Saccharomyces cerevisiae S288C: one gene and its partners. The protein of the gene in region 2 purifies or fractionates together with the protein of the main gene of each other region. This does not show direct contact. Each region holds a gene or a part of one and is shown on either strand. Other genes may lie near its edges. The genes, in order: YPF1, YET3 and CUE4.

Region 1 (4,303 bases), on a different chromosome or scaffold from region 2:
CTCATAATAATGCTACTAAGGCATCCAAGAATCATGTAACGAATATATCATTTGATGATGCGCATATGCTAACATTAAATGAATTCAACAAGAATAGTATCGACTATCAATTAAAGAACCTAGATCACAAATTTGGGAGAAAGGTGGTGGAATACGATTGTAAATTTGTAAAAGGCAACTTCAAATTCAAAATCAAGATTACTAGCACACCCAATGCATCTACGGTAATTACTGTAAAAAAAAGAAGCAAACATTCAAACACAAGTTCCAATAAAGCCTTTGAAAAGTTTAATGATGATGTGGAGAGAGTAATTCGAAATGCCGGACGTTCATAAATTCTATATAGATGTTATATAATTATACAACAATAATTTGAAAAATTTAACGTACGAGAACCGAATGGACAGGCGTGAGAAAACATAGTTTAAAAGAACATTAATAAATGGAGAGACATGAGACACGAAGGAAAGAAAGAGGGTTTTACAAACATTGTCCTAGATTAGAAGATAAATACAACCCTGGAGGGGTAAAAAGAGCTGTCGTTTCTTTTGGAGCTCAAGAAGATTCGTCATCCAAGAGATCTTCTTCAGAAAGCTCTTCCTCAGAGCTGTCACTGAGATCTTCCTCTTGCACGAATTCTTCATCATCGTCAAAATTTTCGTTTACATCATCACCAAGCAAGGCATACTTGTCGGCATCATTATAGTATTCTGATAGGATGAAGGTCGAATAAGTTATAGAGTTCTCCTTTTTTTCTATCGCTTTTTTTAAACTTTTATCCACTTCAATCGTATCATACTGAAAATTCCAAAACTGCTTAAAATCCTTGTTCCAGCAAGCTACCAAAATAGTACTAATCAACAAGGAAGGAACAATGTATAATAAAGCCGGTTGAGCAGTATTGAAAATGGACAAGGAGACCATGGCAGATACCAAAGAAGCAACGTAACTAACCATAGCAGTAATAAAATATTTTCCAACGTATGACCAGTTCAAAAAGTGGAATTCAGTGTCATCATGATCAAGGTGCCACTTCCAGATGTCATATTTGTAGCACATCGCAATAAACATACCAGGCAAGGCAATATCACCCAGACCAAGTATTGAAAAATTGAAGTTGTTTTGAGCTGTATTAAACTTGACTGGTAAGCTTAGTTTTACGGGAATATCAAGGTTAGTAGCTACTGTAACCATTACATCGGTACCAAAGACAAAGCAAATGTCGTAAAAAAATAGAGCAATTAGGATTAGGGCCCCTGATTTTAAATTCTTCAATTTTAATTGAGCAATGGACCAAATAGCCATATTCATACTGACAGCATTGGATATTAACCAATCATTGGGTGATAAATAGAAATATACGGTAGAAACGATGGACAGAACGAACGAAACAATTAATGCGCTATTCAAATACATGTTGCTGATCTGCCTCTTCGATTTAATATCCTTCGGTTCAACTAATTCTCTTCTGTAAAAATGCTTCATCCAATGATCTTTTTCAATCTCATCCAATGTTTTCTTGTGAACAACTGAGTTGGTCAATCCATCTTTGTAATTCAAATTGGTAACAAACCCGCCTATCTTGTTCAGGTCTTCGTTATCATCAGCTATTGTTACACGATACCTTGGTAAAACAACCAGGGGATTCCAAGAAGCTAAATGTGATAGGTTTCTGAAAAGTGAGTTGAGAAAGTAGGAGTAGACAAATGTGCCAGCTGGGATATTTAGCAGTGTTATATTAAAATTCAAAATTTTCACCACATATTTTAGCCAGTTTAGGTGTAGTTTCTTGATCACAAAATAGAGAGCGAGTAAAGTACAGCCACTAGTTAAGGGCAGTATAATCGCATGTTTTTCATCCATCATATCGAAAAACCTCTTGCTTTTCTTCTTTTTCTTTTTATCTTCGTCATTCTCGCGGTAGATAACATGACAGTCGTGGTCCACATCAAAATCTGTAGGATCAAACAATGAGTGTTCTCTCGTAGGAGGTAGAGCTGTAAATGGAATAGAAGAAATAGACGTAAATGAGCCAATAACGACCAAAGCACTTGCGATGAGAACTAAAGTGGCGTAGTTGAATACTAAAGAATGGCTTTCCACCAAGTGTGTAATCTTGTGAGCAACGCGATATGATATCTTATCAAAGGCAGTGGTTAATTTGTTATTGTGGTTTTCAACTATAGCATTGATCTGTTCAAAAACTTGTTCTAATTCCTTGTTCGACGCACTTTGGTTAGCGCTTGATGAATTGTTCCTAAAGGCACGAGATGACCACTCTGAAAGGTGGTCAACAAATGAATTCAAATACTTGTCCATCGTGTATGAGTTTGTTCCCCATTATAGATCTGTAGTATTGCTCAAAAAGGGAGCACTTTACAAATCTTGTCCTAAATACTCCCATTCGGAGAGGGGTTCTTTTTTTTCCGGTGCCTCAAAATCCTTTTTTTTTTGATGGCGCAAAAGACACTTAAGAAAAGTGAATACTTTTTATAAACGTAATCCTATAAAACATGAAAAGAAGGATTACGGAACGTCTGCCTGATTCACTTATATATACTATATAGATGGTAAAAATCTAACGTTTCCGTTGTTTCTTCCATTTAAATGAAATTTTTCCTGAAGAGTCTACGATTTTTTTCTTGGAACCCTTCTTCAACAATTCTCTTTGAGCATCCATTCTTTGTTGGACCTGTTTCAATTGAGTTTCCCTCTGTAAGTGCTGCTTGACTTGCTTGAACTTTTTCAATTTCTTTTTGTCTAATGATTCCTTTGGCATTATTGATGAAGCGTTCCTATTGTTTGAAATATCTTGGGCTAATTGGTCCTTAGTTAATCTATTTTCAGATCTATTCACCATCTCGGAGGTGGTATTGAAAAACTTCTCTGGGGTGAATTCGTTCATCTTCTCTCGGGAATCGACGAATATTGTATGATTCCCACTGCTTTTGAACATCAACTGTTTCGCTCCTTTCTCCAGCTTTTTCAGCTCTATTTGCCTCAGCGTCCTCACATAATTACTATCTTGCGTTTTGAGTAATTTAACTTGATCCATGGAAAGCGATTCGTCTTCTTCGTCACCGTGACGTGAGCTGATCAGCAGTCCTTTTGCATCTGTCTTCCTTGAATGCATAGCATGGTAGTATTCATCTGGATTTCTCTCTTTTGCTTTTTCTCTGAGGACTTTCAAAGTGGACTGCTTCCTGTGGAAGTCTTGAGCACGTTTCACATAGTCTTTATGCTTTTCTAAAAACCCATATCTGGAACGGCTAGTTAGCTGAGAACGTTCTCTATGCTGCTTTTTCTGAACATCATGTACAAGTTTAGCCATATCTTTTGTCTGTTGTTGGCTGTAACGAACTAGAAAACCCCACTAGTATTATTCGATGATATGCAACTTGCTCTTATTGTAGTTTCTTAGCATTGTTTTCTTTACTCTTTTTCTTCAAATCGCGATGAGCTCATCTAGCCATAAAAAAATTTCATCTTTTACGTGCATAACGACAAACCTTTAAGCCTTAGAGGACTTGGTGATGTGCTCCTTTATAACAACGATTACTTCCATTGAACAGCAACACCTGCAAAATCGGAGCTGCAAAATTATTGATTGGATGTGGCAAAAATAGGAATGGGCGATCATAATCTGCCGGATTTTCAGACATGTTTGAAGTTTTCTGTTACAGCTAAAAAGAGCTTTCTATGTATGTATAGAGACAGCGTCTCAAAGGAAAAATTAGCCTCTTCGATGCCAAGTACTTGTGATATACAACTGAAGAGGGCAATCAATGACGCTTATCCGGGCGGAGGAATAAAGGTCACGGTTCTGAACTCAACAACTGCAAGCTTGGACTCGTTAGCAACTACACATGTTAAGGAATTTGAGATTGTTATCATTCCAGACATAAATTCTCTTTTACAGCCAGACCAAGCGAAATTAGTAAAAATTATGAGAGATTGCACAGTGGCGATTGAGAAGGCACAGTCAACACGTATATTTATAGGAGTGGTTCATTGGAATAATCCCGTGCAGCCTTCAGGCGCCGCTAAGGATGGGGATGAAGCAGGTAAACCAGCTCCCAAAACTCGCATCTTCCTGCCCACGTCTTTCCGTATGGGCGCTTGGCTCAAACACAAATTCTGGTTTGCATGTGCACCCCCATATTTGGATTTTGAAAGTTCAACTGAGTCTAGCATTAATACAAGAGCCAATAATAGCATTGGTATGGCTGAGGAAGAGAAGCAGGAGCCAGAGAGCAAGAGGTCGATCATATTAAATGAAGAGGCAAATCTGAACGATGTATTT
Region 2 (2,806 bases):
CCGAAAGATTTGGTTGCGAGTGTTGCTAAGAACGAAAGTGAGACGAGAAACTTAGCTACCTTATGCGGTAATGGTCTAGATTTTGAGATACCGGTGCCTGATTTTAATATTTTTGGCAAATGTATGGAAGATGAGCAAGATGTAGCCAAAATTGGTAATCAGAATGTGGAAGATTTGAAAGTTACTGGGGGGCGGGAGGTGACAATTTGGAAGCAGATCCAAGATATGAAGTTGAGAACAAGGATACAAAAAATCTGTGTTTTAATTGAGACGTTCAATGCTACAGTAAGAGAATATTTTGAGTTTTCCAATCGATTAGAGCATGACGGTATATTTATAGATTTTGAAGTGAGGAAACCTAGTAGTAATAATTCTATTAATATCAAAGTCTGAATAATAGAATGAGTTACATACGTAAACGTGTAGTATTATTATTATTATTCTATTTCCTTTCCGTTTTTATTATTTATATATATATATATATATATATATATTTGGGTGTTTATATTTAGGTAGGGCATAAGGATTTACTGTCGGCATGAACCTACTTGAACAAAAAAATAAAAATCAAAAGAAAAATAATGTAGGCTTTTGCACATCGACTATATATAAATATATATATACACACTTCTGTGCAGAAGAAAAGGAATAAAACGTCAAACTAATTTATTTCTTCTTGCAACGATTCCGACTTCTCCTTTAAACGTGCAATTTCGTCATCGATGTCCTGAATTTTCTTCAATAGTTCAAAATTTTTCTCATCGCCGTGGTCATCCTTGGAAGCGCCGGATTGAGCAGCAGCTTCGGCAGTAACAGAGTCGTTCTTCTTGACATCGCTGGAGGCTACTGGAGGCGATGCTCTGTATATGTCTTTCATGGTTAAAAGTTCTATGACTAGCCCAAAAGTCCTAACGACGACAAAGGTCAAAAACAAAGTTATACCTGTCAAATACATATTCCTTTGGGCAAAGAATTTCCTAGAAAGAACCTCAATTCTATCTTGAGCGATTATAGCGCCATTATTTTGAGAGGCGCTACTTAACTGCAGCTCTTTGTCGATGCTGTACACTCTGTTGATACAATCGATGAAAAGCAAAAGAATGAACCCAAGTACACACTTGATCGCAACTTGCACTGTGGAGGATTTGAACGGCTTTAATAACAGTAAGGTGAGAGGCCTACGGTATCTAGAAGGGATTGGTAGGGCTAGAATGGAGAACATGAAAATCTCCACCACTAGAATGGCAAAAACCAAGGTGTAATATAATGACATGATTCAATTCTGTGAATTCTATGGTTATGAGTATAATGTGACGTGGTTACCTTGGAAGAGCTCACTATTCTATCTTCCTACTAAATCGGGATTTGCTATATACCATTGTTATATACGGCACTTTTCCACTCTTCTTCCCCTTAATGGAGTGAAGCAGGCAGGGTGACCCTCTAGCTAAAAAAAGAAAGAGGCGAAAAAAGAGTGCAACGTCAACAACGCTAAAAGAGAAAGGGAGAAACGCGCAAGTGTTTACGCATAGAGGGTGAACAGGAGCAAGAGCATTTTGATAGCACACAGACTTTTAATAATAAAGCGGCAGAGAATGACTCAAATAAATGCGCGATGATATTGGGAAGAGGCTCAAGCAATTCGTGAGGCGCAACCAACGCCAGTTTTTCGTTGCTCGTGCACAGTGACACGGTGGCAAAATGGTCGACGTTGGCGCTTGTTTCGGCCACTTTGTTATTCGGAAGAGATTTTATATATAAGGCGGGCGCGGTAGCCAGAAAAGAGCGAAAAAGAGAGAACGCGGAAAAACTGAAACAAACAGATTGAGCGAAATAAACCTCGGCGGCTATGTCTCGTACTAACATGGATACAAGACACGCACATTCTGCTTTACTGGCAGCACCACAGAGTGCTACTGCAAATAGCAGGAGCAGCAACAGCAGCAGCGAGAGTAGTAGTAACAAAAACAATATCAATGTCGGCGTCGGTGACGATAGCGGTAATGTCAGCGCGGTAAGTATCGACGATGGACCCCACTTCAGGGATATCTTCCACTATGGACACGAGGAAAATTACAAACTTGCGAGCAGCGGTATCACTAACCTGAATTCTTCATCCCACGCCCACCAAACTTTGTCTCCCATTTCCATTAGTAATGCATCCACTCCGGAAAGTTTTCCCGAGCACCCTTTGGGCCTAGAACGGGAAACAGAGCCGGCGTTGGAAGCTGAAATGGAAGCGGAGGAACTACCACCACACCAAAGTAAATACCTTTTAAGCTCCATTAAGGCGACCAAACGATTAAAAGATGCTAGACCGTTTCTGAAGCCGGTTGATCCTATTGCTTTGAACATCCCGCATTATTTCAACTACGTTCAAACCCCAATGGATTTGTCTTTAATTGAAACAAAATTGCAGGGCAACGTGTATCATTCAGTAGAGCAAGTCACATCGGACTTCAAAACAATGGTGGATAATTGTTTAAACTTTAATGGTCCAGAATCTTCAATCTCTTCGATGGCTAAAAGGATTCAAAAGTATTTTGAAAAAAAGTTATCTGCAATGCCACCAAGAGTTTTACCCGCTTCTGCCTTGAAGAAAACAAGCAGAAACCGGAAAAAAAATGAGGATATGGATTCCCCACTTGTCATTAGACGTTCAGTTAGTACCACCAATGACAATATTGGGGAAAGCGGAAATAGAGAAGGCGTCAGTGGTGGTAGACCCAAAAGAACAATTCATCCACCCAAATCAAAAGATTTGTTTGATATATATGAAAACTCCAAACCAAAATCAAAGACTTTA
Region 3 (2,570 bases), on a different chromosome or scaffold from region 2:
CAGCTCCTGAGATGACCTTAACAGCGCATATTTCTTAAGTTTAGATTTATTGGAATAGCCGCCGAACTTTGGAACCTTGTAGTCCTGCTTCGCGTCATCCATTTCCAAATCAGAAACATATTCCTCGTCAGGGGCAGTAGTTAGATCATCCGGGTCCGACTCATTATGCTGCGAAGACGTCTCACTCGACGAAATATCTGCTAACTCCGAATATTTCAGATTAGAAGGCTGTTTAGCCAATAAGGGACGCTGTTTTGCAGCAGACGCAGTCAAGTGGGGCGTAATCCTTTTAATGGAAGGTGGCGCAGAAGACCCAGAAGATCCAGAGGAGGCCGAACCTTGTTTGGTCCTATTAACTAAAGAAGTAGCCGCCGAAGTAGGCCTGTTGCCCGCCCTCGATTTCGGGGTAACAATGTGGTTGTTGGGTCCTTCTAGGCTAGTTTGTGAGGTGTTGTTCAACAGTGAGTGCACTAACAATGACTTGTTGACGTTCTTTAATAAGTTGGTCGTGGGGTCCTGCTGTTGCTGTTGGATTGGCGAAGCAATTCTCGAACCGGAGTCATGCTCATGCTGGATTGGCGATGCGATGCGATCCGTGGGAATATTGGAAGAAGGGGAGAAGAATCGTTCCACGGAACCATTTTTCCGGGGTTTAAGCATAGTCTTGCTTGTTGGCGTATGTGAGGTAGTTGCATTCGCAGTCAAGTTTTCCATGAATATGTCCGAAGAGACAAGATCATCTAAAGTGGCAGTATTTGTCGTAGACGAGGCGCGGTTGAAAGCACTGGGTGACCTGGTGGCACTCCTTGAGATTGCTGGGGGGACACCTTGTTCTGGTGCTGGCGCGACCAATGATTCCTGTGAGATGTTGTTAGAAAGCGCACGTTGTTGCTGTTGGTCATTGGCCATAGCCTGGATGTTCACGAGAGATGAGTCCACCTGCGAGTTCTCAGGGAGAGAGGTGTCAAGCTCGAATTGTGGTTGGTAGGGCAAAAACAAAGATGCCACGATGAGAGCCATTGTGTTGATCTTGCGTTGCTATTGTATTCTTTGCTTTGTTTGGTTTTTTAATCGACGGGTGGGTGGATGTGCAATGACACGGTAGATCCTTATATTTATAGTTACATTAGTATTTATATTTAAGCTTGGCTAGACGGGGGCCCCAGGGTGAGTGTGCTAGCCCCTTGGTTCTACCCCCTTCTCCTTCCCTAGGTAACTGACACCATAGCCGCTGCCCGGACCCCCGCCCCTTCCTATCTCCCTTCGGCGAGGGCGCCAGGCCCGCCAGCCGGACTTAGACACTTTCGAGCAAGCAATCCCAAATACGCCATATCAAAATGCAGGGGCGGGGTGACCCGCTTTTCTCGAAATTTCTATCTGGCCCTCTGTTTCGCCCCTTTTACCCTGAACGCGATTTTTGAGCGAGACGAGAAGAGCAGAAATTTCGCAATAAGTTACTACAATGGTGCCCGCTTTAGAATAATAACTCGGGACACATTTATACATTCCCACACACACAGACGAGGCACGGCTACCCACGCGCACAAAAGTAAAAATGGATGGATCGACTATAGTGTTTATACTGACGATGGTGTGCTTGTTTGTTTACACCGTGAAACACAGGGGCGCCAAGCAAGTACCCTCGCGAACCGTACAGGATGCCAAACCGGCGCCCTCGGTCGCCACCAACGACCCTTCTCCGGAGCCAGTACCATCGGCTCCGGAGGAACGCGTTGCTCGGTTAAACAGACATGGTAGTGATCGAAAGAGAGCCGTTAATAGTGACATGGTTGAAATCGTGATGACGATGGCGCCACATGTGCCTCAGGAAAAAGTCGTGCAAGATCTCAGGAACACAGGGTCCATTGAGCACACAATGGAAAATATCTTCGCTGGCAAACTAGATTAGGCATTCTTATGTACCGCATTAAATATATTAAAAATCACAAATCGACTGGCGTAGGATGTATGCGCCTCTTTTTACTATCGCTACTATTGCAGGGGATCTTCTTCACCGGCAGCATGTTCACGATCCCACCTGCCTCGCGCTGGTTCTTAGCCGCTACCGCGCTCTCGTCAGTGTCTAGTGGCTCTGCATGCATCGCTGGCGGCTCTATCCTTGAACCGAATTGCGTTTCTGTGTCGATCGATACATACGAACAGAATCCGTCTGTTGATGAGATTAGTAGGGTCGAGCCATCCTCAGACCATGCTAAATCAGTTATGGGTGAGTAATGTATATTTCCCACAACGCATAACGGCTCCAATACATCCGTGTCGTACACGAGTACTTCGTTAGTCGTTGCTATGGCAAATACTAGCTTATAGGGCAGCTTAAGCACACTCTTCTGGCACGTTTCGTAAAATACGGGCGAGAAAGCCGCCATCAGCGCTGGTTTCTTCAAAGATGGGATTCTAATCGCAGGCCGGTTTTTAACGCCACCAGCGCTGTTCAGTATTCCAGATCTAGTATACACGTATACGCAGTTCGCGACTTCATCACCAGCCACCTTATACACACCACTGGGAATTACGACCAAACCACCACAAGGCGATATGCTGCATCGCCT

The links.
Region 1: the proteins of YET3 (region 2) and YPF1 purify together in Saccharomyces cerevisiae (affinity purification with mass spectrometry, with the first as the bait; one large-scale study listed by BioGRID). This does not show direct contact.
Region 3: the proteins of YET3 (region 2) and CUE4 purify together in Saccharomyces cerevisiae (affinity purification with mass spectrometry, with the first as the bait; one large-scale study listed by BioGRID). This does not show direct contact.

What each region holds. Positions count from the first base shown.
Region 1 is NC_001143.9:253,142-257,444, forward strand, and holds YPF1 (aspartic endopeptidase), read right to left. Parts: upstream 2,320-4,303; coding exon 556-2,319; downstream 1-555. Other genes in the region: protein kinase HSL1, read left to right, coding at 1-335; rRNA-processing protein UTP11, read right to left, coding at 2,579-3,331; MTC2 (Mtc2p), read left to right, coding at 3,629-4,303. UniProt on the Saccharomyces cerevisiae protein: May act as intramembrane protease.
Region 2 is NC_001136.10:329,175-331,980, forward strand, and holds YET3 (Yet3p), read right to left. Parts: upstream 1,274-2,806; coding exon 662-1,273; downstream 1-661. Other genes in the region: AHK1 (Ahk1p), read left to right, coding at 1-393; BDF2 (Bdf2p), read left to right, coding at 1,850-2,806. UniProt on the Saccharomyces cerevisiae protein: May play a role in anterograde transport of membrane proteins from the endoplasmic reticulum to the Golgi. May be involved in invertase secretion.
Region 3 is NC_001145.3:69,074-71,643, reverse strand, and holds CUE4 (Cue4p), read left to right. Parts: upstream 1-1,555; coding exon 1,556-1,909; downstream 1,910-2,570. Other genes in the region: TSL1 (trehalose 6-phosphate synthase/phosphatase complex subunit), read right to left, coding at 1-1,020; YML100W-A (uncharacterized protein), read right to left, coding at 1,333-1,506; CAC2 (Cac2p), read right to left, coding at 1,944-2,570.